3 linked regions of the Oryctolagus cuniculus genome follow. The protein of the gene in region 3 purifies or fractionates together with the protein of the main gene of each other region. This does not show direct contact. Links are inferred from orthologs where the notes say so. Each region holds a gene or a part of one and is shown on either strand. Other genes may lie near its edges.

Region 1 (7,518 bases), on a different chromosome or scaffold from region 3:
CCAGCTGCTCCACTTCCAATCCAGCTCCCTACTGATGTGCCTGGGAAAGCAGTGGAAGATGGCCCAAATGCTTGGGCCCCTGTACCCATGTGGGAGACCTGGATGAAGCTTCTGGCTCCTGGCTCTAGTCTGGCCTGGCCATCCTTTATATGCATGGATTTCAAATATTTTTTTTTTTTTGCATCAAAATAAAGTCTTTTGATCCAATTTTCCATAAACTTTTTCAGGCACCCTCCTCCAATTTAAGAGCAGGTGCTTTGCCTGTCTTCATCACTGTATCCCTAGCAACACAACCAACCTGGCACACAGCTGACATTCAGTAGACTTCGATGTGTCACATTAATAAAAGACTAAATCCATTCAGTCATATAATTCTTTCAATTCCTGTCCAATCGCAATTCTGATGCCAACCAGTTCAGAGGACAGAAAACACCATCCTAAGATGTCCTCGGGAAGCCCACAGCAGCAAGCCTGTTCACTGCTAGTCATGGCCACAAGAGGGACCAGTACCTTTTTATTATCCACAACTTTATGGACATAGATGGTAGCCTGGGTGTATTCTCGCAGGTCCCTCTGCTGCTGACACAGTAAGCCTTCTCTGCACTCGGGACAGAGTTCTACAAAAAGGAATTATAGTCAAAGAAGCAAAGATATAAAAAACATACACCAAAATCATTAGTCATATTCATTAAACTAGCTATAACCTCTAGTAACTATTGTGTTGTATAAAAATGATAAGGACATCCACTTAATGCCCATAAACAAACATACAAACACTGAGATGTTTGCATGGTACTAGTTCTCACCCAGGGAGCATGCACATTGTCCCAGCTTTAACTTGAAGCACAGAAAAAAATACTGACACACCCTTCCCTCCTCCAGCAAGGAAACCAGAAAGCAGAATGAAGACTTACTAGGCTCAGAAACATACTGCGTTTCTGAAGGGTTTGTATCTCCCACTTCAGTTCTTGTGATTTTAATTACATGATCCACGACGAAGAGTTTTTGTATCGTTTGCCACTCACTGGGCCATATGAGAGCTATACTGTGCAAGAAAACACAACATGCCTTAAGACACATGCATACGATGAGAGCTAACAAAACCCACTAGTCTCCTAAACCAAAACCCAACACCATCACTTATCGGGAAGGAAATTAGAAGGAAAATAAAGATTATCAACAACAAGAAATAATAATTCTGTCATGCAAAGGAATGTTACAAAAGCAGTAAAACTAAACAGACTGGAGGTTCTATGAATCAACATGGTAAAACCTCTAAAACCTAAGTAGAATAAACCAAGCTTGTGGCGGAAGGGAAAATACAGTATGACAATACTTATATTTGAAGTTTAAAAAAACGAAACAAAATCCCCATGACTTTACGATGCACAAGCAGCCATATTTCAAGGAGTAATTTCTGAGTGGCTACTGGGAGAGGGCAGGAGGAGGGAGAAGAGAAGAGTCAAACAGAAGGGAGGGGAGAGGGCCGTTGGTTACATGAACTGAGCTTCCTAAATCAAGTAGGAAAATCTCTCTTTTTGTGTAGGTGTTTCAGGGTTTCTTTCATGGTTTTCTGGCAACGTTGGAGACATTCTACCTTCTCTCATACAGTTAGAAACCATTTTACAAGACAAAATGCAGCGCCAGGGGCAAGATCCACAGACAAGCCCTTTGGGAAGCGAGTGAGCAGTGGAGTCAAATGTCAGTTGTGGGAGCCGCGGGGGACGCTAGGCTCAGCAGCTCTGCTAAGGTGGACACTGTCCTTCCCTGGCTTCCAACAGCTGGCAGCTGCATGCAAACTCACAACTGAGACCAGGCTGATCGTGTGGCTGGGGAAGAGAGGGCCACCTGCAGCCACAGCACTGCTAATCAGCCGCGGGGGAGGAGGGAACAGAGAACACAGGAGTGGGAGCAGCCTCTTGCCTGTACTGGAGAAGTAGGTTTGCTTTCTTTTTTGATCTTATAAAGGTTTAAGTGCTCACTCTAGTAGTGCATTAAACAAACGTGGAAAAGAGGGAAGAAAAAAACAAAAAAACCCACAATTCAGTCAAGGACTAGATTCTTAGACTATGTCAGAAGAGAAATGCCTTAATCATTAGAAACAGAAAAACCACACGAAGAGAAGAAACTCACAGTTTAGAATCTTCTTTGGTCATGGACGCAAATGTAAACATGAGTCCCCCGTGGGGACACAGGAGGGCACTGTTTCCCACCGAGGACACGGGGCTACATCGAGCAGGCTTCCTATTCAAGTAAGACAAGGAGGGCAAACAGAGTTCATTACTGCAGGAGAAAGACTTTTTCAAATACTTATGTAAGAGTCTTAATAATTAAATGTGTGACTTAGAGCTACTCATTTAACTTCACAGAGAAAAGCAAGCTCTCAGGGTACCCTCCTGAAAGTAATCATGCAGGTACACAAACAGAATCCAAGAACATGGGAGACAACCCAAAATGAAGGAAATAGAAAATGTCTGGTTTCTACCTAACAAATTTCCGCCATTCTTCCACAAAAAACTGCGACACTATATAGAGGACGTCCGTGTCCTAGAATATGAAAACCACAAAAAAAGGGCACACTTTAATTCATCGCATGCTTAGCACAAACTGTTCATGAGAAATACACTGTGATTTTCCTTGTTGGAGTTTTATAATAAAATGGAAATGCAGCCATCTAATAAGAAACATCCAGCTGGGGTACATCCCCCGAGCAGGTTACTGAACAAGTGAGAATGAGCTAGGCTGTTCTTCAGCACTCTCAGGAATTTGGCAAGGGCCTGAAAAGGCCAAGTTGAATTCCTTTCTTTGGGGGGATGACTGTACCTCTGGCCAGTTACTGAGACACGGTCTGTTTTTGTCCTGGAACAAATTTGGGAGAGAAGTCTTCTGCTCGTTTGCAATCATCTTATGTAAGGCTTCGTTTTCTTCTCCTTCTCTTTCTAAAATCTGGAAGAAAGTGAAGCAATCAACTGTCTCTTGCTGACAGCCCAGAGCTTGCCTCCCCTACTCCCTCACCTGAAGCACAAGGTTAATTCCCCTGGGAAGCTATTCCAGGCAGGCGCACGCCCTTTCCTGGGATGTCAGTGGAGCTCTGTACCTTGCATTGGGAACAGCATTCTCTGTAACTTGGAAACTCAGGAGCCTTTGGGAAGTATTGTTGTAGCTTGCTCCAAGCCTCTTGAGAAACAAGCCTTCTTTCGTTTTCAGATATGCATAACTCTCCTGAGTGGGAAAGAAATTACATTTGAAAACAAGAGAGAAAAGCTGAAAAAAGACATTATAGGTTTTCGGTCCCTTCTTTTCTAAAGTGGTACATTTCTCTATTTTCAAAAACCTCTGTATTTTTAATTCTAAGAGATAGCCACCAACCTCGATTTCATGTCCTCAATCTAGGTCTGTAGTGGAAAGATCTGAAGACAAAAACCAGTGTGCGTTTTCTCCCAGCCGGCAGGAAGGAAGCAGTACAAAGGGGCTTCCAGGGATCTCCCACTCTCTACCCCCACAGAAGAAGGTCACAATTTCCTGCAGACTTTACTGTCTCCATTTTGAGTGCCAATGACACTGTTTCCAAGGCTGTCTCCAGCCCTTGCTTCAGAGATCTCATTGGATCTTGAAAAATTCCAGAAGGCAACAAGAATAATACTTGTTATGGCCATGGCCACTCCTGCTCTTGTCAGCAGATGGCAGGAAGGCCAGGACCAGGGCGCCGCCCCTCTGCAGCCCAGGGCCTCCCAGCCAGCTCTCCAGGGCCTCTCACCTGGCTGTCTCTGCTTCTGTTTGTAATCGTTTCAACTGTTCCCAAGTGGCAAATTAGTGAACTGCACTTACGTCCGATGGAAATCATTACCCAGGGAACTGTACCTTTGCATTTCCAAAGGCACCTATGGATTTATTAACAGTAATCAAGTCAGCAGCTTTTCGAACACATGAAACACTTTGTGTAACATCAACTGAGAGGCAGGGATGAACAAGGGTCACTGGCTGGGAAGCTGCAATGCTGCACCAGGAACCCAGGCCTACCTCCACCAAATCTCACGAATTTCTAATACCCATGCCCTGCCTCTGAGCTTTGAATTATCCAAAAGGGAAAAAACTAACAAACAAACAAACAAAAAAAAAACCATGATTTTCCTGCAACAAAGTTATTACTAGAGAAATTAGGTCACAAGGTAAAATTTCACTTTATTTCTAAGTAGGCTGGTAATTCAAATTTCCTCTGAGGCTATGAAAACTTACTCCAACATGACTATCCTCAGACATAATTAGGGAACTTATTTTCTTTCTTAAAAAAAGTTAATTGGATTGTTTAGCCCCAATTTAGTGGTCCTAGGACTATGGTGAAATACCAATACAGCCATAAAAAAGATTTAGGTACACCAGGCAATTATAATTTTAAAGTGGTTTCCCATGTTTTTCAAAAAAGGATTCAGTTTGAGCCAGAATTATGGTGAAATGGGTTAAGCTGCTGCCTGTAATGTCGGTTTGAGTCCCCACTGCTACTTCTGATCTACTTCTCTGCTAATGAACCTGGGAAAGCAGTAGAAGATGGCTCATGTGCTTGGGCCCTTGCACCTGCGTGGGAGGCCTGGAAGAAGCTCCTGGCTCCGGATCAGCACAACTCAGGCCATTACAGCCATTAGGGAGTGAACCAGCGGATGGAAGACTTCTGTCTGTCTGTCTCTCTGTGCTTCTCTGTAACTCTGCCTTTCAAATAAATAAATCTTAAAAAAAAAAAAAAGTGACAGCAACACAAATCTCCCCATGCACTTCACTGTGTCTATCTGCGGACAATTTCACAGACACTGTGGATGTACCCCCCCCCACTTTTTTTTTTTTTTTTTTAAAGATTTACTTATTTGAAAGCAGAGGTGAGAGGGGGAGAGAGAGAGAGAGATTTTCCATATAATGGTTCACTTCCACAAAGACCACAACAGCTAGGTCTGGGCCAGGCCAAAGTCAAAAGCCAGGATTTCCGTCCTGGTCTGCCACATAGGTGGCAGGGGCCCAAGTACTCGAGCCATTGTCCACTGCCTTCCCGGGGCATCAGGAGGACACTGGAGCAGAAGTGCGCAGAGCTCAGGCTGGCACTCTGGCACGCGATGCCACATTCCAAGTGGCAGCTGAACCTACTGCGAGCCTGCGCCTGGTGTCCCTTGTGACGATGGGATACTCCAAGGAAGAGACTGTGCCTGTGTGCCTGTGACCTACTCATGATTTCAAAGCAGAGTAACAAAGTCATTCTGCAATCAGAAAACAACCTGAATAGATTGTTTTACTTCAGTCTGGTTGGTAAATAAACACAAAGCCCTTCGTACTGCTTCTTAGTCACATTTCTAAATCCAACGTCCTATTATTTTAATAACAATATTTAATATATTTGAATGTGGTCTAAAATCTCACAATAATTAACTTTTACTTACGATATGTTTAGAAACTGGATTTGTATCATGCAATAAATGATGTTATTTCTTAAATTTGAAAAGATAAAGCCAATTAACTACACCTGTGCCTGAAGTGAGCACTCATTAAGACCAAGTAAGACAAGGACACACATAGGACCACACAGTGCTGGTTAAGAACAACTAGTACACAGTCAGACAATAGATGTCAAAGAAATTAAACCATCAATAGCCCAAATAACAAGAAGAAATATATAATGGCAGAGTGACAAAGGGAGAGAGAGACAGAGATATTCCATCTGTTGGTTTAATTCCTAAACGATAGCAACAGCCAAGTCTGGTCCAAGATGAAGTCAGGAGCCATGAGCTCCATCCATAACTTCGGCCAGCTTCAGCTGCCTTTCCAGGCACATTACAGGAAGCTGGACGGGAAATGGTGCAGCCAGAACTCAAACTGGCACCTGGATACAGGATGTGACAGCAGTGGCTTAACAAACTGGCTGTGCCACAATGCTGGCCCCTAAAAGACTGCTCTTCAAATTCAAAAGTGCTTCAATGTGACAAAAAGTTTCTTCTCTAATGATTTCCTCTGAACATGGAGGGTTAACTACTAAATTAAAAAAAAAAAAAAAAAAAAAAAAAAAAAAAAAAAAAAAAAAAAAAAGACTTTTCTTGCAAGGTAAGAAGAAAAGGGTGAGACTTTGGCACCGAAAGCCAGTAGAAGCTGACACTGCAGAAGGGTACGAAAGGAAAGGAGGTTTGGCAGAGTGGTGAGGATGCTACATGGGACACCCCCACCCCACATCACAAGCTTGAGGCCTGGTTCTGCTCCTAACTCCAGCTTCCTGCTACTGTGTGATCACAGAGGGAGCAGATTCAAGATATTGGGTCCCTGCCTTCAACACGGGAGACCTGGATTGCGTTCCCAGCTCCTGGCTGCAGCCTGGTGTAGTCCTGACTGTTTTGGAAATTTGGGGAGCTAACTGGCAATTGGGAGATCAGTTTCTCTCTCTCTCCTCCTTTTGAATAAATACATAGAATAAAACAAATGAATAAAAGAAGGGTAAGAAAATAGAAACATTAAAAACAAATCCACTGGGTCCCAGCTACCACACAGGATACCCAGATGGAGTCCATTCCTGGCTCCTGGCTTCATTCTGGCTCACCCCTGGCTGTTGCAGCAACTTGGGGAGGGAGTCAGAGAAACGAAGATATTTCTCTTTTGCTGTCACTCTGCCTTTCAAATGAATGGATAATAAATAAACAAGTAAATCAATGGGTAACATTTTTTAAAAAACCCAAGTATAGCTTAGAAAACATGAGAAAACATGTTAATCCACCACAGCTGCCACTTTAGTCCCTAAGATGAAGTGCAAGACATTTAAAATATTATGATATGCTGAAGTCAAACTAAGAACAGATTTGTGCTTCCAGCTTACCATGAGGACACAAAATATCTTCATTAAAATTTAACTCCTCCTCCTCTTCTTTTCTTTCTTCTTTTGATTCATCTAATCAAATGAAATACAGGTAATAACTACTGATTGTTGTGTTTGAAGTTCAAAGTAGCAGATACACTACTCAGCAGTTTTGAACAAAGAAAACTTTAAAGCATTCTGAAAATTAGTTACCAGTGAGTCTACATAGTCTTGCTAAGAATTATTATGTTTCTTTCCCTTAAAAGGAAAGAATAATATATCAATGACAGTTAACTTTTTAAAGGTTTAGGTTATGTAAGAAAATGTGCCCTTTTTCAACTTGAAGAATAATTTACATATCCTTCTATTAATTCTACCAAGGTTGAGAATCCTGTGTCATAAGCCAAGTTCATCATCTACATGCTGTTTCATGTCACTTTCTCTACCTATTCTTAGAGACTGAACACAAAGCTTTAAAGGCAAATGAAATAAAGAATGAACTTTTACCATCAAACATGCTATATAACAAGAGCTTTGCTTTTCCTGTTCACAAATCTCTTAAATATCTGATTTCCTTAAACTTCTACACTGTTATTGTCAATTGATAGTTCTGTATACCATGGACATAATCAAAAAAGAAATCTAAAGTTTCAAGAGATTAGAATACTTATCCATGAATTTTCCTTATAATACAATATATA
Region 2 (7,518 bases), on a different chromosome or scaffold from region 3:
TTATCAGTCATTAACACTTGCCTTGATTCCTTAGGAAATCCATAGGAAGGTGATGTCACAGAACTTCACCAATTGCCACACCAAGATTCGCCATGTTGATGCTCATGCTACTCTGAATGATGGTGTGGTGGTCCAGGTGATGGGACTGCTCTCCAATAATAACCAGGCTTTGAGGAGATTCATGCAGACATTTGTCCTTGCTCCTGAGGTATGTGTATAGGAATATATATAGGATTATAGTGATGCTATAGTAGTTTAATTTCACATATTTGATATGTAAAAAAAATTGAAAGATTGTATACATTTGTAAAATGTTTATGAAATTTCAACCTTACAGAAAAGTGGTAATAGTAAAACTGCTGCGTACACTTCACCTAGTGCCACTGTCAATGCTTGCTTGCTCACATGTGTGTAATCTTTTTCTATTTACCTTTAGTTTTTTCTCATAAAACACTTGAAAGTAAGTTGGAAACTTAGTGTTCTATCATCTTCAAATACTTAAGCGGCTGCTTTTTTTTAAAGATTGATCTAATTATTTGAAAGGCAGAATTAGATCTAATCCCATGCAGTCTTGGCATTCTGTTAAGAATTTATATAGGAGCTGGTGCTGTGGCATAGTGGGTAAAGCTGCTGCCTGCAGTGCTGGCATCCCATATGGGTGCCGGTTCAAGTCCTAGCTGTTCGATGTTTGATCCAGCTCTTTGGTATGGCCTGGGAAAGCAGTAGAAGATGGCCCAAGTGCTTGGGTGCCTGCACCCACATGGGAGATCCAGAGAAAGCTCCTGGCTCCTGGCTTCAGATCTGCGCAGCTCTGGCCTTTGAGGCCATCTGGGAAGTTAACCATCAGATGGAAGACCTCTCTCTCTGCCTCTGCCTTTCTGTAGCTCTGCCTTTCAAATAAATAAATAAATCTTTTTTTATTTTTAAAATAATTTATCACCAGTCATGGATTTGTCGTATAATTACTGGATTATAATCCATTATAATTATATTGTTTATAAAATATCCCAGATCTGGTCAGTGTTAACCCCTACAAGCTGCTCTTTAGTAAATTTTTTTTTTTTACTCCAGGATCATTTTTGAATTCAATTTTTTTTTTAAGGAGCCCTAGTTCTTTTTAATTAAGCTCATCACAAAAGGATCCTAGGTTTATGTTGAATAATTGCATTTGTACCCATTTCTAGACTTCACAAGGACAGGAGGCCTGTTTGCTTCACCAGCTAAAAGTGGCTTAATAAGGAATTGCTGAATAAATGATTATATTCTGTAGCATTAATCATAGTTATTTTCTGTTTAGGGAGGTGAGCCTAAAACCCATAGGCTTGGGGCCAGTGCTGTGACTCACTTGGTTAATCCTCCATCTGCGGCGCTGGCATCCCAGATGGGCGCCAGGTTCTAGTCCCGGTTGCTCCTCTTCCAGTCCAGCTCTCTGCTGTGGCCCGGGAAGGCAGTGGAGGATGGCCCAGGTGCTTGGGCCCTGCACCCCATGGGAGACCAGGAAGAAGCACCTGGCTCCTGGCACAGCGCTGGCTGTGGTGGCCATTTGGGGAGTGAACCAATGGAAGGAAGACCTTTCTCTCTATCTCTCTTTCACTATCTATAACTTTACCTGTCAAATAAATTAAAAAAAAAAAATTCTTGTGTAAATAAAGTGACTTTTTCTCTGATTTACTTGAAGTCATGGTCATGATTTTTAGACAAAGGTTTATAAAAAGTGTAGACTTGAGGGAGTTATAGATATGTGAAAAATTACATGAAGTGTGATTGTCAGTGAACAAGTTTAGTAATTCTTTTTTCTTAAGGGAAATACCTTATTTCAAACTAGTGTACTAAGTGTAAATGGTCTCACTTTAGTATAAATTATTTAAGCTGTCTTATTTAATATGCAAGGCATTGATGTACGTTAATATCCCTCTTTTGTACATGAGGAAATAGCCTTAGAAATTGAATAACTAGCAAATGACATAGTGGAATTTCCACTCAGGTATGTGTTAAGTAATGTGAGCAAGGTTTTTTTTCAGCTGCGCTATCTAGAATGTGTGTATCAGATGTCCCAGGATGCATATTTAGGGAATTTTAAGTATCTGTTAAAAGGATAATGTGAGTGCTTGTTAATGATTTGGGATGTAGACTGTGGCATCTGACCATACTCAGACTTTTTGAGCAAACAGTGTATTTTAGTGTAGTCTTTCTTCAGTCATAGTTAAAATAGGGGTTTTCAGTTGAGGCAGTGTTGACTTTTTGGGTTAGTTTTTTTGTTTAGGGCTGTGTCATGTGCATGGTACGCTATTGATAGCATCCCTGTCCTGTACTCAGCAGTTGCTGGTACCACTCTGCTGTGGTGAAGACTCAGATGTCTCCAGATGTTGGCACATGTCTTCCAGGGGAAGAATTGCCCGCAGTTTTAGGAACCGCTGTTGTACAGGGACCTGGCTTTTTAGAAGTCTGTTGAATAAGTGAAAATTTTTTGTTGGCATTGCAGGGTTCTGTTGCAAATAAATTCTATGTTCACAATGATATCTTCAGATACCAAGATGAGGTCTTTGGTGGCTTTGTCACTGAGCCTCAGGAGGGTAAGTACTCAAATACTGTAAGTTACTTGGTTAAATTTTTTAATTGTATCAGACCTTAAGAGACTGGGTTTCTTAAGTGTTGTCATTATACTCTGTTCTTTATCAGTTACTAGTGAACAGGTTAGCTTTTTCATGTTGAGATTGGGCGAAAGCATAAGACACTTAAAAGTGGACAGGTCTATTATACAATAGCCCTACCCTGCAGAAGGCCTGTTGACACTTGTACTACAGTGTACTTGGGTTAAAGGAATGCAGCCCTGACTTTAAGGAACCTAAGTCTTTTATAAGGTTAGTAAACATGATTGTGTTTTGCAACAGAGGGAAGTACTCTTCTTTTCCAAAGCTGTAATATTGAAAATGTCTGGAATCAAATGTTGTTGAAAAATAGCCTGGAATAAAGGGTAACTGTAGGAAATGGACAGAAACCAAAAAACCTGTAGAGAATAACCTCCAAAATGGTAATATTTGAGTGTTTTCTATGACTGAGATTGTTCCAGAGCTGTATATATTCTGTAATACACAGCTTTATAAATAGGTACTTTGGGTACCATTGTCCTCATTTAATAAATTTGGGCACCATGGGGCAGTAATGTGATAAAACTAGTAAGACAGTGTAGCCTCTATTCGATGACTTCAAATAGGACTTGACTCCATGTTCTTAATTGAATTAGTACCGCAGTCTTCATTTTCTCTATTAATTTGTGATATGATTTTACCAAATTGCCTTTAAAAAAAAAAAAGTGTGTGTGTGTGTATGTGTATGGTATTTCATTGTCTTTTTGATTGCTCACAATAAATACACTGAAACAGAACATTTTTTTAAGTATCTTTTCCTTCTTCCTTAGAATCTGAGGAAGAAGTAGAGGAACCTGAGGAAAGGCAGCAGACACCTGAAGTGGTACCTGATGATTCAGGAACTTTCTATGACCAGACTGTCAGGTAAGGAAGATTTTTAATGATTTCCCAAAAGAAGGGTTTTGCTTTTGGATATGTGGTTTTATTTATTTATTTGACAGATAGAGTTAATAGGAAGAGACAGAGAGAAAGGGCTTCTTTCCGCTGGTTCACTCCCCAAATGGCCATAACAGCCAGGGCTGGGCCAAGCGGAAGCCAGGAGCTTCCTTCGTGTCTCCCATGTGGGTCCAGGTGCCCACACACTTGGGCCATCTTCTGCTTTCCCAGGTCATAGCACAGAGTTGGGTCGGAAGAGCAGCAACTGGTACACAAATGGCACCCATATGGGATGCTGGCACTGTAGGCAGAAGCTTAGCCTTCTGTGCCATGGTGCCAGCTCCAGTTTTTTTTCTTTTTATGAAATTTTATTTGTTTGAAAGGAAGAGAGAGAACAGAGCCAAAGATCTCTGGTCTGCTCTTGTTTCCCCAAATGCCTGTATTAGCTGGGGTTAAAGCCAGGAACCAGGAACTTATTCCAGGACTCCAGTATGGCTGGGAGGGATCCAAGTACTTGCAGCATCACCTGCTGGCTCTCAGGATGTGCATTAGCAACAAGTTGGTATCAGAAGTGGAGCCAGGACACAGACCCAGGCTCTCCAACAGGGATATGGGCATCCCAGGTGGTGTCTTCACTGTTGTACCAAGTGCTGACTCTTATTGCCTTTTTTTCCCCCCTTGTTGACCACATCAAACATGAATGGAATTTCTTATCAAGAATTTAATTCATTGAGGTATTGCATTAAATACTTTGGGGGGGGGTACAAAATGTACAGGTATTGGAGATTAAGCATAAATTGACATTCACATGTGAGAGTAATTTTAGTATCAGTAATTTCATTACCACAGTGAGTGTATCATTGTGTCATAGGTTCTTTTTCTCTTGAATTGGAAAAGAAATGTGTTTTATAGGAATAGACTGCATGTTTATACTTGTTAACATGTAATGTCCCGAATGTTTATAATTCAGTGCTTAAAGAATATTTTTAGGTGTTTCTCAAGGTGTAGTGATGGACTAACTGTATTACTCACTTGGGTGGTTGGGTGAAAATGAAGATGCATGGTCCTATCCCAAACCTGTTGAATTAGAATTTTGGGAAGAAGAAGAGTTCCTGGTGATTTAGTTGGAACTTGAAGAATTTCCTGTTCTGGGGCCTGGTACTGTGACACAGTGAGTTAAGCTGTTGCCTCTGATGCTGGCATCCCATATGGGCACCAGCCCTAGTTGCTTCACTTCCGATTCAGCTCTCTGCTAATGCGCCTAGGAAAGCAATGGAAAATGGCTTAAGTGCCTGGGGCCCTTGCACTCATGTGGGAGATCTGGATGAAGCTCCGGGCTCCTGGCTTCTGTCTGGCTTAGCACTGACTGTTTGTGGACATTTGGGGAGTGAACCAGCAGTTGGAAGGTCTCTCTGTCTCCCCTCTCTGTAACTCAGCATTTCAAAGAAATAAGTAAATCTTGAAAAATATTTACGGTTTTGAAGCAATATTAATGATTTTTCTTTCTTCTGAAATTTTTTGAATTTTATTATAAGAATTCTGTGGGTGGTGAAATTCACATATAAAACTGAACCATTGTAACCATTTTAAGTCTGCAGCATAGTGGTGTTAACTCCATACACATTGTACAGTAGATCTTGAGAGAATGTTTTCATCTGGCAGAATAAACTATACCTGTTGAGAACAGAACTTTGTCTTCTCCCACCTCCCTGCCTATTACATTTGACGTTTTTGTTCTGTTGTGTGAGGAGTAAATTGTAATAGTTTCGGGATTGCAGCTGAATGATAAGTAAAGGTTTTGACTCATGTTCAGATTTTGCCAGTAAACTGATTCTAGTTAAGATTTGTTCATTGAGTGCTTTTTATTTTAACTCAGGTGTACAATTCTTATTTGGCAAGAGGGAGCTATTTTTGTCCGTAATTGAGAATTTTCTTGTAAGACAGGGGAAGGCTGAATGATTATTTTTTGTATTTTCTTGTGAAAGCAATGACTTGGAAGAACACCTAGAGGAACCCGTTACTGAACCAGAGCCTGATCCTGAACCAGAACCAGAACCAGAACCTGTCTCTGAAATCCAAGAGGAAAAGCCCGAGCCAGTATTAGAAGAAGCTACTCCTGAAGATGCTCAGAAGAGTTCTTCTCCAGCACCTGCAGACATAGCTCAGACAGCACAGGAAGACTTGAGGGTATGGAGAAGGCTTCACTTGTCTATTTCTACTTTATTTTTCAGAATTTCTTTTCTCCTCTACTGCTGCTTGGGTAACTTCCTCCACTGCTTACCCAGGTGCACTAGCCAGGAATTGGGTCAGAAGTAGGATGCCAGTGCTGCAGGCTGGGGCTTTAACCCCCTATGCCACACCACTGGCCCTGCTTGGTTAACCTTAATACTTAACGTTTTCATTTGTGGTTTAGGATACCTTTTTTTTTTTTTTTTTTTTTCGACAGGCAGAGTTAGACAGTGAGAGAGAGACAGAGAGAAAGGCCTTCCTCTCTGTTGGTTCACCCTGTAAGTGGCCGCTACGGCCAGCGCACTGCACCGATTCGAAACCAAGAGCCAGATGCTTCCTCCTGGTCTCCCATGAGGTTGCACGGCCCAAGGACCTGAGCCATCCTCCACTGCACTCCTGGGCCACAACAGAGAGCTAGACTGGAAGAGGAGCAACCGGGACAGAACCGGCACCCCAACTGGGACTAGAACCCCAGGGTGCCGGTGCCACAGGTGGAGGATTAGCCTAGTGAGCCGTGGCACCAGCCTAGGGTACCTTATTAAATATTGAGCCATCCCTCAGTTAAGAAGGAAGATGCCTATTGCTTTTTAACAACATAAGTAACTGCCCTGCCCCCCTTAACTTGCATACCTATTGCACTATAAATTTCAGGTGCCATTTTACCACTATGTCATTGTAAAATATTTCATCTTTAAACTGGTAAATATTTGTTAAGCAAATGGATATCATTTTTTTTAAGATAACATGGTGAAATCTTGGTAACAGTAGTAGTAGGAAGGTAACTTCTAATTAAAATGTCTGATTTCAGAAGTTTGAAGCTTTTCTGTTACCTCTCCTGAGTCCCATCAGTGTGTGTGGAAATACTGACTTTTGCTTGCACATTTCAAATAGGTTGATTGGGTCGAGAGTGGATGATAGTATAGTAGTGCAGTTAGAGAGATGATAGCTTGGGTTATGACTTGGCAGTGGAGATGGAAATGAAATAATTGGGTCAAATAACAGGTTCTGATGATTTTTTAAGTGGGCAGTTTTAAAGTGTTCAAGATGATTGTACACTCTGTATAATTGGATCCATGTTTGTAGAGTGGATCAGTTCAGTCATGAAGAGCTGAGCTAGTTTTGGGGAGAGAATTTTCTTTGATTCATAAACTTGAAATTGACTAAAAGTAGCTTCCTTTTTTCTAATTTGGCTGATGCCAAAGAATCCCCCTCCTTCTCACCCAGCCTGAAGCAGTGTTATTTTCTCGGCTGCCACCAGGAGAGTGCCTGTGGTGTGCTGCCAAGTTGGTCTGCCTGGTGCTCTGACACAGGCAGCAGCTGCTCCTTCTTCCCCCAAGGAATTATAATAACTAAATATTGAAGAGGTGAAATAAAGAAACCTCAAGGAACTCCATCCTGCCTATAAGAATTATTATGTGTATACAAAAGGTATTCTAAAAGTTCATGAAAAATGCATATTATGAAAAAACTATAAATGGATTTTACCATTTTTTTTCTTTTGATCTTGGGAATGGACATTTAACCTATGTGGTTAAGATGCCCACCTCAGAGTACCTGAGTTTGATTCCTGGTTATGGTGTCTGTCTACAATTTCCTGCTAGTGTATACCCTGTAAGACAGCGGTGATGTCTCAAATAGTTGGGTTCTTACCACGTATGTGGGGGACATGATTGTGTTCTTGGCTTCCACCTTTAGCCTGACACAGTCCCAGCTGTTGTAGGCACTTAGCATGAACCAGTGGCTGAGAGCTCTCTGTCTCAGATAA
Region 3 (8,288 bases):
CTTGTCTGTCATGTATCTGTGCTCTGTCCTCCGCCTGTCTGTCCATCACCGACCCGTCCATTTGGAAGGCGGGTCTTCCACCCGCCGGTGCCCTCCCCGATGCCCACGACGGCCGGGCCGGAGCTCCCAGGTGGGCGGCGGGGACCCCAGCCCTTGGGCCCTGCCAGCTGCCTCCCTGGGTGCGCATGCGCAGGGAGCTGCCTGGGACGCGGGACTCGAACCCAGGCCCTTATGGGATGTGGGCGTGGCAGGCAGCTGCTTCAGCCGGCCTTTTGACCCCAGGAGGGTGATGTCACCGCTGTCACAGGCCCGGGCGCCAGCAGACAGGCGCGCCAGGCCCGGCCCCGCCCAGCCTCCCCCCTCTGGTTGGGCTCCCCGACCTGCCCGGGGGCGGGGCTCCCAGGCAGGTGACAGGCGGCCCCAGTGACACTGTGCGCGCCCCGCAGCATGTCGGCCTGCACCGCGCAGAACCAGGAGCTACAGAGAAAGGTCTTGCATCTCGAGAAGCAGAACTTGTGAGTCGTGTTCAGCCGGGGGCGGGCCCCAGAGTCTCCGCGGGACGAGGAGAGAGAAGCGTGGGGTGGGGGGAGTAAGGGGGCGGGCGGAATAGAGCAGGGCACTTGGACTTGGGGCTTTGAAGGGTGTGGAGGAGTTCACGGGGAAGCAGAGCGCTCCCAGGGATTTGTCGACCCAGAGAGAGGGACTGGCGAGGAATCGGCTTTGGGCGAGGCTGGGGGTTCTGGGAAGCAGAGCCAGGGCCGCGGGGGCTCAGCCAGGCCCACCGCCCCCCGCCCCCCAGGTCTCTCCTGGAGCAGCTGAGGAAGCTCCAGGCCACCGTGGCGCAGTCCGCGGGCAAGTCCGCGCAGACCGGGACCTGCATCGCGGTGAGTCCGAGCCGGCCGCCCGCGGGCGGGGGCGGGGCTCCGGGGCTGCGCCGCCTCCTCGCGGGGCTGCTGACCCCGCCCCCTCCCGCCAGGTGCTGCTTCTCTCCTTCGCCCTCATCGTCCTCCCGTCCATCAGCCCTTTCGCCACCCCCAGCAAAGCCGAGAGCCCCGGGGACTTCGCGCCCCTGCGAGGTAGGCACCGCCCCCCAAAGCCCCTCTCTTGCGGTCACCGTGGACGCCCCCCGCCCCCCATCCTGGGCCTTGGGGGAGGAGACCCCTGCACTCCTGTGCCCCGAGGCTGGCGGCTAGGGGAGGGACGGCCGCTAAGCCCCGCCCCCACCCCAGTCTTCTCCAGGACACTGCACAACGAGGCTGCGGCCCGCGTGGCCCCCGACGCCACGCCAGGCTCCGAGGCCCCAGGACCCCAGCCCGAGGCCGGCGCGCCGCACCCAGGGTCTCCAGGCCGCCCCGGGGAGGACTGGGGCTTCCAGGACCCGAAGGCGCTGGACAGCTCCGCGGGGCCGATGGACAACTCCACCTTGGTTCTGGGGGACTCGGGGGAGGAGCTGGGCCCGGCCACCCTGCTGGACTGGGTGGCGCCCGAGCCGGTGCTCAGCGCGGGCCGCGCGGGGCTGGAGGCGGCCGGGGGCGAGCTGTGAGCGCCGCGCGCGCCGGGCCTCTGCCAGGACGCGCGAAGCCCCAGGGGCGGCCCCGCGCCGCACAGCGACTGCTCCGGCCTCCCTCGCGGCTGCGGGGACCCCGGCCCCGACGCCGCCGGGGCGCACGCCCGCCCCTCTTTTCTAAGATGCCTTGTTCCTTAATAAAGTATTTTGACCGAGCTCGCGGCTGGCAGCGTCAGGACCTTGGAGAGCGGCCGCGGGCGCGCGGGCGCCGTCGGGGCCTGGAGCGGGGGTGGGGGGCTGCTTACAGGGGCTCCGCGTCGGGGACCAGCGGCGAAGACCCCGCACCCCCCCTCGGCCCACACCCGGCTCCTCCTGAGTCCAGCCCCCTGCCGATGGGCGCCCAGTGCCGGCTCAGGCCCCGTGGGCGGCCTTCCTGGAGGAAGCGGCCGGGGGCCCGCCCGTCTCGGGAGGAGCGCGCCTCAAGCCCTCCCAGCTGGGGGCAGGTGGAAACCCGGGCCCCTCGTAGTGGGGCCACGCGCAGGTGCAGCCGCGCTCAGACACGCGGGGGTGGGCAGACAGCGGCCGGACAGGCGGCGGCGGGGCGGGGGCTCCCGGGACCACACAGCCCCAGCCCGGTGCGCATCGAGGGTCCGAGCCACTCCTGCCTTTATTGCGTCCAAGCCTGGAGGAAGCCGGGGTCTCCGCGCCGGGCTGCCCCCCCCCCCCAGGGTCCCTGACGCCCGGGGCTGAGGTCGGGGCTGGCGTGGGGGAGGGGTCCCCGGGGCCGGGGACGTCCGCTGTGTCTGGGCTGGAGCTGGGAGGGCGGCTCCTCGGGGGAGGGGCCCCCAGGTGCGAGTCCGTACCCCCCCCCGCCCCCCGCCGCCCGCTGGGGTCAGCTGGGGTCCGCCTCCGCCTTCACCCGCTTCGGGGGCCGGCTGGGGGCGGGGCTGTCCGGCGCCTCCCGCTTGGGGCTGCGCTGGGGCTCCTGTTTGGGGGCGGAGCCGTTGAGCAGGGGGCGGGGCTCGAGCAGGGGGGCCGGCGGGCGGGGCAGGGGCGGCAGGGCACGCTCCAGCACGCGGGGCCCCTCCCAGGCGGGGATCGGCAGCCCCAGGTGCTTCATGAGCTGCGTCATGACGTCATCGACGTAGCCGTGGATACGCAGGTCTGCATGGCGGTCCTGCGGGGGGGGCACAGAGGGGTGAGGCGGGGCGGCCACGGCGGCGGGGGGCCGGGTGGCGGGGCGGCACCTACGTGCTTGGTGGGCTGCAGGTTCACGATGACCAGGCGCCCTCCGCGGCGCTTGGTGGCCAGCGGCAGGTTCCCACTGGGCCGGATCTGCAGCGAGGTCCCCAGAGTGATGGACAGGTCCGCGTTCCTGGGGGGGGGAGCCGGCTGCTGGGCCGCCACCTCCAGGTAGCCCTCCCGGACTTCGCCCAAGTCCCTGCTGGCTGTGTCTCCCCGTTTCCTCCCCCCGCCACTGTGAGCGCGTGGGGGTGCGGTGGGGGCGGGGAGGCAGGGGTCAGACCTGCTGGCCTCGTCGGCGAGGGCCAGGTCCCGGTCGGGGAGGGCGTCTTCCCAGTCCAAGATGGTGTCTCTCAGCTCCCCCCTGCAAGGCAGAGCGGGTGGGGGGTGCAGCCGGGGGCGGCTGGGGGGCGGGCGGGGGGCGGGGAGGCGGGGGGGGGCTCACCTGCAGGCCCGCAGCCCCCGGGCCTTGGCCACGGTGCAGAGGCGCCCGGTGGCCTTGAGGCCCATGCTGCCCACCACGGCGTCGCGGACGTACTGCCTGCGGGGGGAGGGGCGTGCGGGGAGGTGGGGGCGCGGCCCGGCCCCTCCCTCCCGGGGTCCCTGGGCGCCTGGAGCCACCTGCTCTGGGGGAGGGGCCGGTCCCAGCTCCGCCTGCGGCCCCGGAGCCCCGCGGGAGTTCAGACAGGGGCTCTGGGTCTGGGGCAGCCCTCGGCCCTGAACTTGGCCTCCACGGCCCGCGGACGGCCCCACTCACGTCTTGCACTTGGCACACTGTTCCACGAACATGTTCCCGTGCAACTCAGCCAGCTTGTCCCTGCGGGAGAGGCAGACGGAGGCTCCGGCTCGAGGCCGCCGCCTCCAGGAAGCCTGCCGGGACCGCTCGCGCGCCGCAGCTGCCCGCACCCCCCGGGGCCGGCGGTACCTGGGGAAGCCGGAGCGCACGTGCAGCCCGTCCACGTTCTGGCTGACCAGGAAGCGCAGGAGGCCCACGCGCTGCAGCTGCACCAGCGCCATGTGCGTCTGCGTGGGCCGCGCGCTCTCGAAGGTCGTGTCGAACTTGGGCGCCAGGCCGCGCTCCTCCATGGTCCACACGCCGTGGGGGCCCCTGGGGCGGCGCGCAGGGAGAGGGGGCCTGGGACTCAGGGCGGGGGGCGGGGCTGGCGGCGCCCTGGGCGACCCGGGCGCTGGCCCTGCCGCGACGCGCCCTCCCGCGCCCACTGACCTGAAGTCGGGGATGCCCGAAGCCGTGCTGATGCCCGCGCCCGTGTGGACCACCACGTTGGCCGACTGCCAGATGAGCCAGGCCAGCTCCCGCACCTTGCGCTCCAGCTCCTCGGGCGGGTCGAAGATCTGGCGGGCGGGGGCGCAGAGGGCGCGGCTCGAGCGCGGTGGCCCCCTGCCCCGGCCCCCTCGCTGCTTCTGCGCCGCCGCTGGCCACAGGACCTTTGCACGGGCCGTGTCCACAGGGACCGCCCCCCTCGCCGCCGCCTTGCCCCGCCAGCTGGGCTGGTGTCAGTGCGCCCCCTGTCTGTGCCCGCACTGGAGTGGCAGCTGCTCGGCTGGCTCGCCCCCCACCCCAGGCTCCGGGCCCAGCCCCCAGCCCCCAGGCTCCGGGCCCAGCCCCCAGCCCCCAGCCTGCGCCCGGCCCACAACAGGTGTCCAGTGAGTTCCGGGACAGGAGGAACCACACCAGCCCGAGGCGTGGGGCTCCCGCCGGCACCCGCAGCGGGGCCCGCCTGCCCGGGGAGGGGGCCCTCCTCGCCCCCTCCCACCCCGATTCACAGGAAGGGGGCGTGGAGACCCAGGAGGAAGTGGGGGGGGCGTGGAGAAGCCGGGGGTCGCCCCGCTCGCCCTCCCGGCCGACTCCCAGCTCGCGCCCCCTCCCCATCACCCCGGGGACCCCGGCCCAGCCCCCCCACCCCGGGCAGCCGCGCTCGGGGTCCCCGGCGCGCGGGGGGCGTCACTTCCCGCCCCCTGGGAAGTCCCTCCCCTTGTCCAGCCGGGCGCCCCTCGGTGTTCCCGCGATGCCCCGCCCGCGGCCCCCCGGGGGCGGCCACGCTCACCTCCGCCGGGGGCGGCCACGCTCACCTCCGGGAGGCCGCACTTGCCCTTGTCTGCGTACGGCGACAGCCCCGCCGCGTAGTTCACCGACATCCTGGCCGCCCCGGCGGGAACAATAAAGTTTCCCTTGTTGAGGCGGCTTCCGCCGGAAACGGGGTGGGGCGGGCAGGAAGGCGGAACCGCGTTGACGGACGCGCCTGCCGGGGCGCATGCGCGCGCGTCGCGCTGACGCCGCGGACGCCATCTTAAGTACTGGCAGGGAGGGAGCCCGGCTTTTGCAAGCCCCTGGGCTGGGGGCGGGGAGTTGCAGCGGCTTCCCGCGTGAGAGGTGGCCCCGAAATGAGGGCGCACAGCGCTCGGGGGCCCCTTGCCCTTTTTACTGATTAGTGAACCTGACGCAGATGTGCCCTGGACTCCATGCAGTTAGGGTCCCCGGGGGGCGCTCTGTGGTCCCTGAGCCTTATCCCGGGGGATTGGCCAGTAGGCAGCTGGACAGGTCACGCATGCTGCGCACCTACTGTGTGAGGGGCCTCAGAGGGGGCTCCTGCCCCAGCCTGGGGCATCCTGGAAGGCTTCCTGGAGGAGGCAGGCCAGGAGCTGGCTGAGGTGCCCAGGGCAGCCCGTGGCTCCTTCCAGAAACTGAAACCCAAGCAGTGGGGATGGGGGGAGCACGGCGTCTCCCCCCCAGCCTCGTGGCCAACGGGCAGCCCAGCTGCCGCCTGTCCCCTCCCTCGCTCATCCCCAGCCTCGCGGCCGATCGGGTGTCGGAGCCAGCCGGGCGCCGGGAGCCGCGGGTATCAGCTCCAGGCCCAGCTGGGAGCGGGTAACCGGAGCCGGCGGTGGGCACGGGGCACCGGAGCCGCGGGAGGTAGGCGAGGGGCCTGGGGTGGGGGCTCCACTTAGGTGAGAGGCAGGGCCGGGGCCGAGCTGCACCTGCCGGCGTCCACCGCGCCTGGGGGTCGCAGCCCCACCCTGCCTCCCCGGCCCGGCGCTTTGGGGACACGGAGGACCCCGGCCCCTCCGCTGAGCCCAGGGACTCCCACGGCCCAGGCCGCCTCTCGGGCAGGTGCAGGGCGCCCCGCCCCTACTCCCTGGCAGGAGGCCCCCAGGTAGGGGTGGTCCTTCCCCGGGGACCCCCCTCTCACGCAGCGCCCCCTGGAGACGCCCCGCGGGCCTGCACGCAGGTGGACGGGAGGGAGTGGGGTCCCGGAACCCGCCTCTGCCCAGAGGGGGCCCCGGGAGGGCCAGCGGGGGCGGTGGGGGCCAGCCTGCCTGTCCCTGCCCTCCGGGGTGGGGTCCCGCCCCCCCTGCCACCCCTGCCCCTCCCCAGGAGGCCCGGAGAGACGAGGCGAGGGGGACACTGGGCATGAAGACCCTCCGGGCGCGATTTAAGAAGACAGAGGTGGGTCTGAGGCCGCGGGGACCCCTGAAGCCCCCCACCCCGTCCCCTCCTGTGGCCGGGCACCTGCTGGCCTCTGGGCTGTCGCCCCGCCCCCTGCCGCCCCGCCCTCGCCGTGTCCAGCACTGGTCTCCAGGAACCGCCCCCCCACGCAGATTTCTGCGCCCACGGCTTTGCCGACCCTCGCGAGTGTCCACTGCTCCCCCTGGGCCTGCGGCGCGGGGAGGGTGGGTGCGGGTTTCCCGCCGAGCGGATGGTTCCAGCGGTCCGGGAAGGCTTCCCGGAGGAGGTCACCTAGGTGCGAGGGTCCGAGGGGAAGAGGGAGGGAGCCGCCTTGGGGTGCAGGAGATGGCCAGTGCCAAGGCCCCGGGGTAGCACCGGGCAGCCTTGGGTGGGGCCGCCCCAGAGAGGGAGAGGCCCCTGCGTCTGCCTCGCCCCCCCCCCCCCAGGCCCCGCAAGCCAGTGTCGGGCCCCGAGCCCCTCGCACAGCCGACGTCAGAACGCTCGGGTTTCCGCCCCGTGGCCGGAGCGCTCCGGGGGTCTGCCTGGAGGAGGCAGGCCAGTGATGGCGCCCAGGAGGGAGCACCCGGGCTGGGGACGAGCCTCGCCCCGTGGCCTCAGGGCAGAGGCAGGGCTTTCAGGCGGGAGCAGGGTGCGGGGGCGCTGAGGGGTCCCCGGGACCCAGAACGCGGGGCCGCTGGGGTGCCCATCCCGGGTCAGAGCCCCTGGCTGGCGTCCTGGCTCTGGGCTCAATTCCAGCTCCCTGCTGTGCAGCCTGGGCCCCGCCTCCCACCTGGGAGCCCCGGATGGAGCTCCTGGCCACCGGCGTCCACCTGGCCCGGCCCTGGCTGTCGTGGGCACCCGGGGAGGGACCCAGTGCGGGGGGACCTCTGTCCGTGTCTCTGCCTTCCGAATAACTTTTTTTAAATGTGAAAGTCAGGGTTAGGCAGAGCGAACTTTGCTGGCTGGGGTAGGGCCGTTGATGATCCCTCTTTTTTTAAAATTTATTTTATTTATTTGAGAGGCAGAGACAAGTCTTCCATCCCCTGGGTCACTCCCCAAATGGCTAGAGCGGTCGTAGCTGGACCGGGCCACAGCCAGAAGCTCCATCCGGGTCTCCCACGCGGGTGCAGGGGCCCAAGGACCTGGGCCATCGTCCACTGCCCTCCCAGGCCCTAAGCAGGGAGCGGGACTGGAAGAGGAGCAGCCGGGACTCGAACCGGCGCCCGTGTGGGATGCGGGCGCTGCAGGGCGTGCCCTTAACCCCCTGCGCCCCAGCGCGGCCCGGGACCCCTGCTTTATAGAGGGGAAGGCGGCGGCTGGAGGCCACAGAGCCGGCAGGAGACACCGCGCCCCCCAGCCCTGTGCGGGCGGGGGGGGGGGGGAGGGGCGGCACAGTGCACCGCCTGCGCCGCGTGGCCCTTCGCGGGGTGACCGTGGAGTTTCTCGCGGAAATCCACACCGCTGGCGGCCGTCCCTGAGTGGTGGCGGCCGGAGGCGGGGACCGAACCCCCGTCGCCGGGTCGTGGCTGGAGCGGTTGGGTTTGCAAGAATCCTGCAGCTCGGAGGAGACCCCTCCCCAGTCTGGCGGCCTGGCCCTGGGCGGGGGCGGGGCCCAGGCAGGTGGGAGGCCTGGTGGGCGGGGCCTCCAGCCAGCCCCTGCCCGCCCGCGCGCGCTGCACCTGCGCTCCTCCCCCCTCCTCCTCCGGTTTCCCTGCCCGGACTCAGGTTCGCCTTTTGTTCGGAGCCCTGGCGGGGGGGGGGGGGGGGGGGGGGGGGGGAGAAAGCCGACACCGGAGTGCGTGACTGCGGGGGGGGGGGGTGCTGAGCCTGGCGCCCCGCCCCCCGCTCTCCGCGGCTCCTCCTCCCCCCACCGGCCCTGCCCGCAGGCCCTGACAGGGGGCGATTCCACCGGCGGGGGTGGGGTAGACGGGAGGGGGGTCTCAGTGCTGCCTGACCGAGGGCGCTGTCCTCTCCTCCCCCCTCCCTCTCTCCCTCTCTCCCCCCTCCCTCTCTCTCTCCCCCTCCCTCTCTGTCTCTCTCCATTTACCTTTCTCTCTAATTCATTCCATACAC

What was found. The genes of interacting proteins can lie anywhere in the genome.
Region 1: the proteins of SIRT6 (region 3) and USP48 purify together in Homo sapiens (affinity purification with mass spectrometry; 3 studies listed by BioGRID, with this or other methods). This does not show direct contact. The link is inferred for Oryctolagus cuniculus from reciprocal best matches to the Homo sapiens genes SIRT6 and USP48.
Region 2: the proteins of SIRT6 (region 3) and G3BP1 purify together in Homo sapiens (affinity purification with mass spectrometry; 3 studies listed by BioGRID and IntAct, with this or other methods). This does not show direct contact. The link is inferred for Oryctolagus cuniculus from reciprocal best matches to the Homo sapiens genes SIRT6 and G3BP1.

What each region holds. Positions count from the first base shown.
Region 1 is NC_091438.1:149,260,448-149,267,965, reverse strand, and holds part of USP48 (ubiquitin carboxyl-terminal hydrolase 48), read right to left. Parts: intron 6,911-7,518; coding exon 6,839-6,910; intron 3,223-6,838; coding exon 3,098-3,222; intron 2,947-3,097; coding exon 2,824-2,946; intron 2,548-2,823; coding exon 2,486-2,547; intron 2,245-2,485; coding exon 2,134-2,244; intron 1,046-2,133; coding exon 915-1,045; intron 618-914; coding exon 511-617; intron 1-510.
Region 2 is NC_091437.1:38,775,204-38,782,721, forward strand, and holds part of G3BP1 (ras GTPase-activating protein-binding protein 1), read left to right. Parts: intron 1-34; coding exon 35-208; intron 209-2,482; coding exon 2,483-2,573; intron 2,574-3,418; coding exon 3,419-3,512; intron 3,513-5,509; coding exon 5,510-5,711; intron 5,712-7,518. UniProt on the Homo sapiens protein: Protein involved in various processes, such as stress granule formation and innate immunity. Plays an essential role in stress granule formation.
Region 3 is NC_091447.1:59,687,524-59,695,811, forward strand, and holds SIRT6 (NAD-dependent protein deacylase sirtuin-6), read right to left. Parts: upstream 4,982-8,288; 5' UTR 4,907-4,981; coding exon 4,841-4,906; intron 4,103-4,840; coding exon 3,975-4,102; intron 3,858-3,974; coding exon 3,675-3,857; intron 3,567-3,674; coding exon 3,507-3,566; intron 3,291-3,506; coding exon 3,195-3,290; intron 3,114-3,194; coding exon 3,033-3,113; intron 2,883-3,032; coding exon 2,759-2,882; intron 2,685-2,758; coding exon 2,400-2,684; 3' UTR 2,157-2,399; downstream 1-2,156. Other genes in the region: CREB3L3 (cyclic AMP-responsive element-binding protein 3-like protein 3), read left to right, coding at 447-515, 800-884, 977-1,076, 1,230-1,543. UniProt on the Homo sapiens protein: NAD-dependent protein deacetylase, deacylase and mono-ADP-ribosyltransferase that plays an essential role in DNA damage repair, telomere maintenance, metabolic homeostasis, inflammation, tumorigenesis and aging.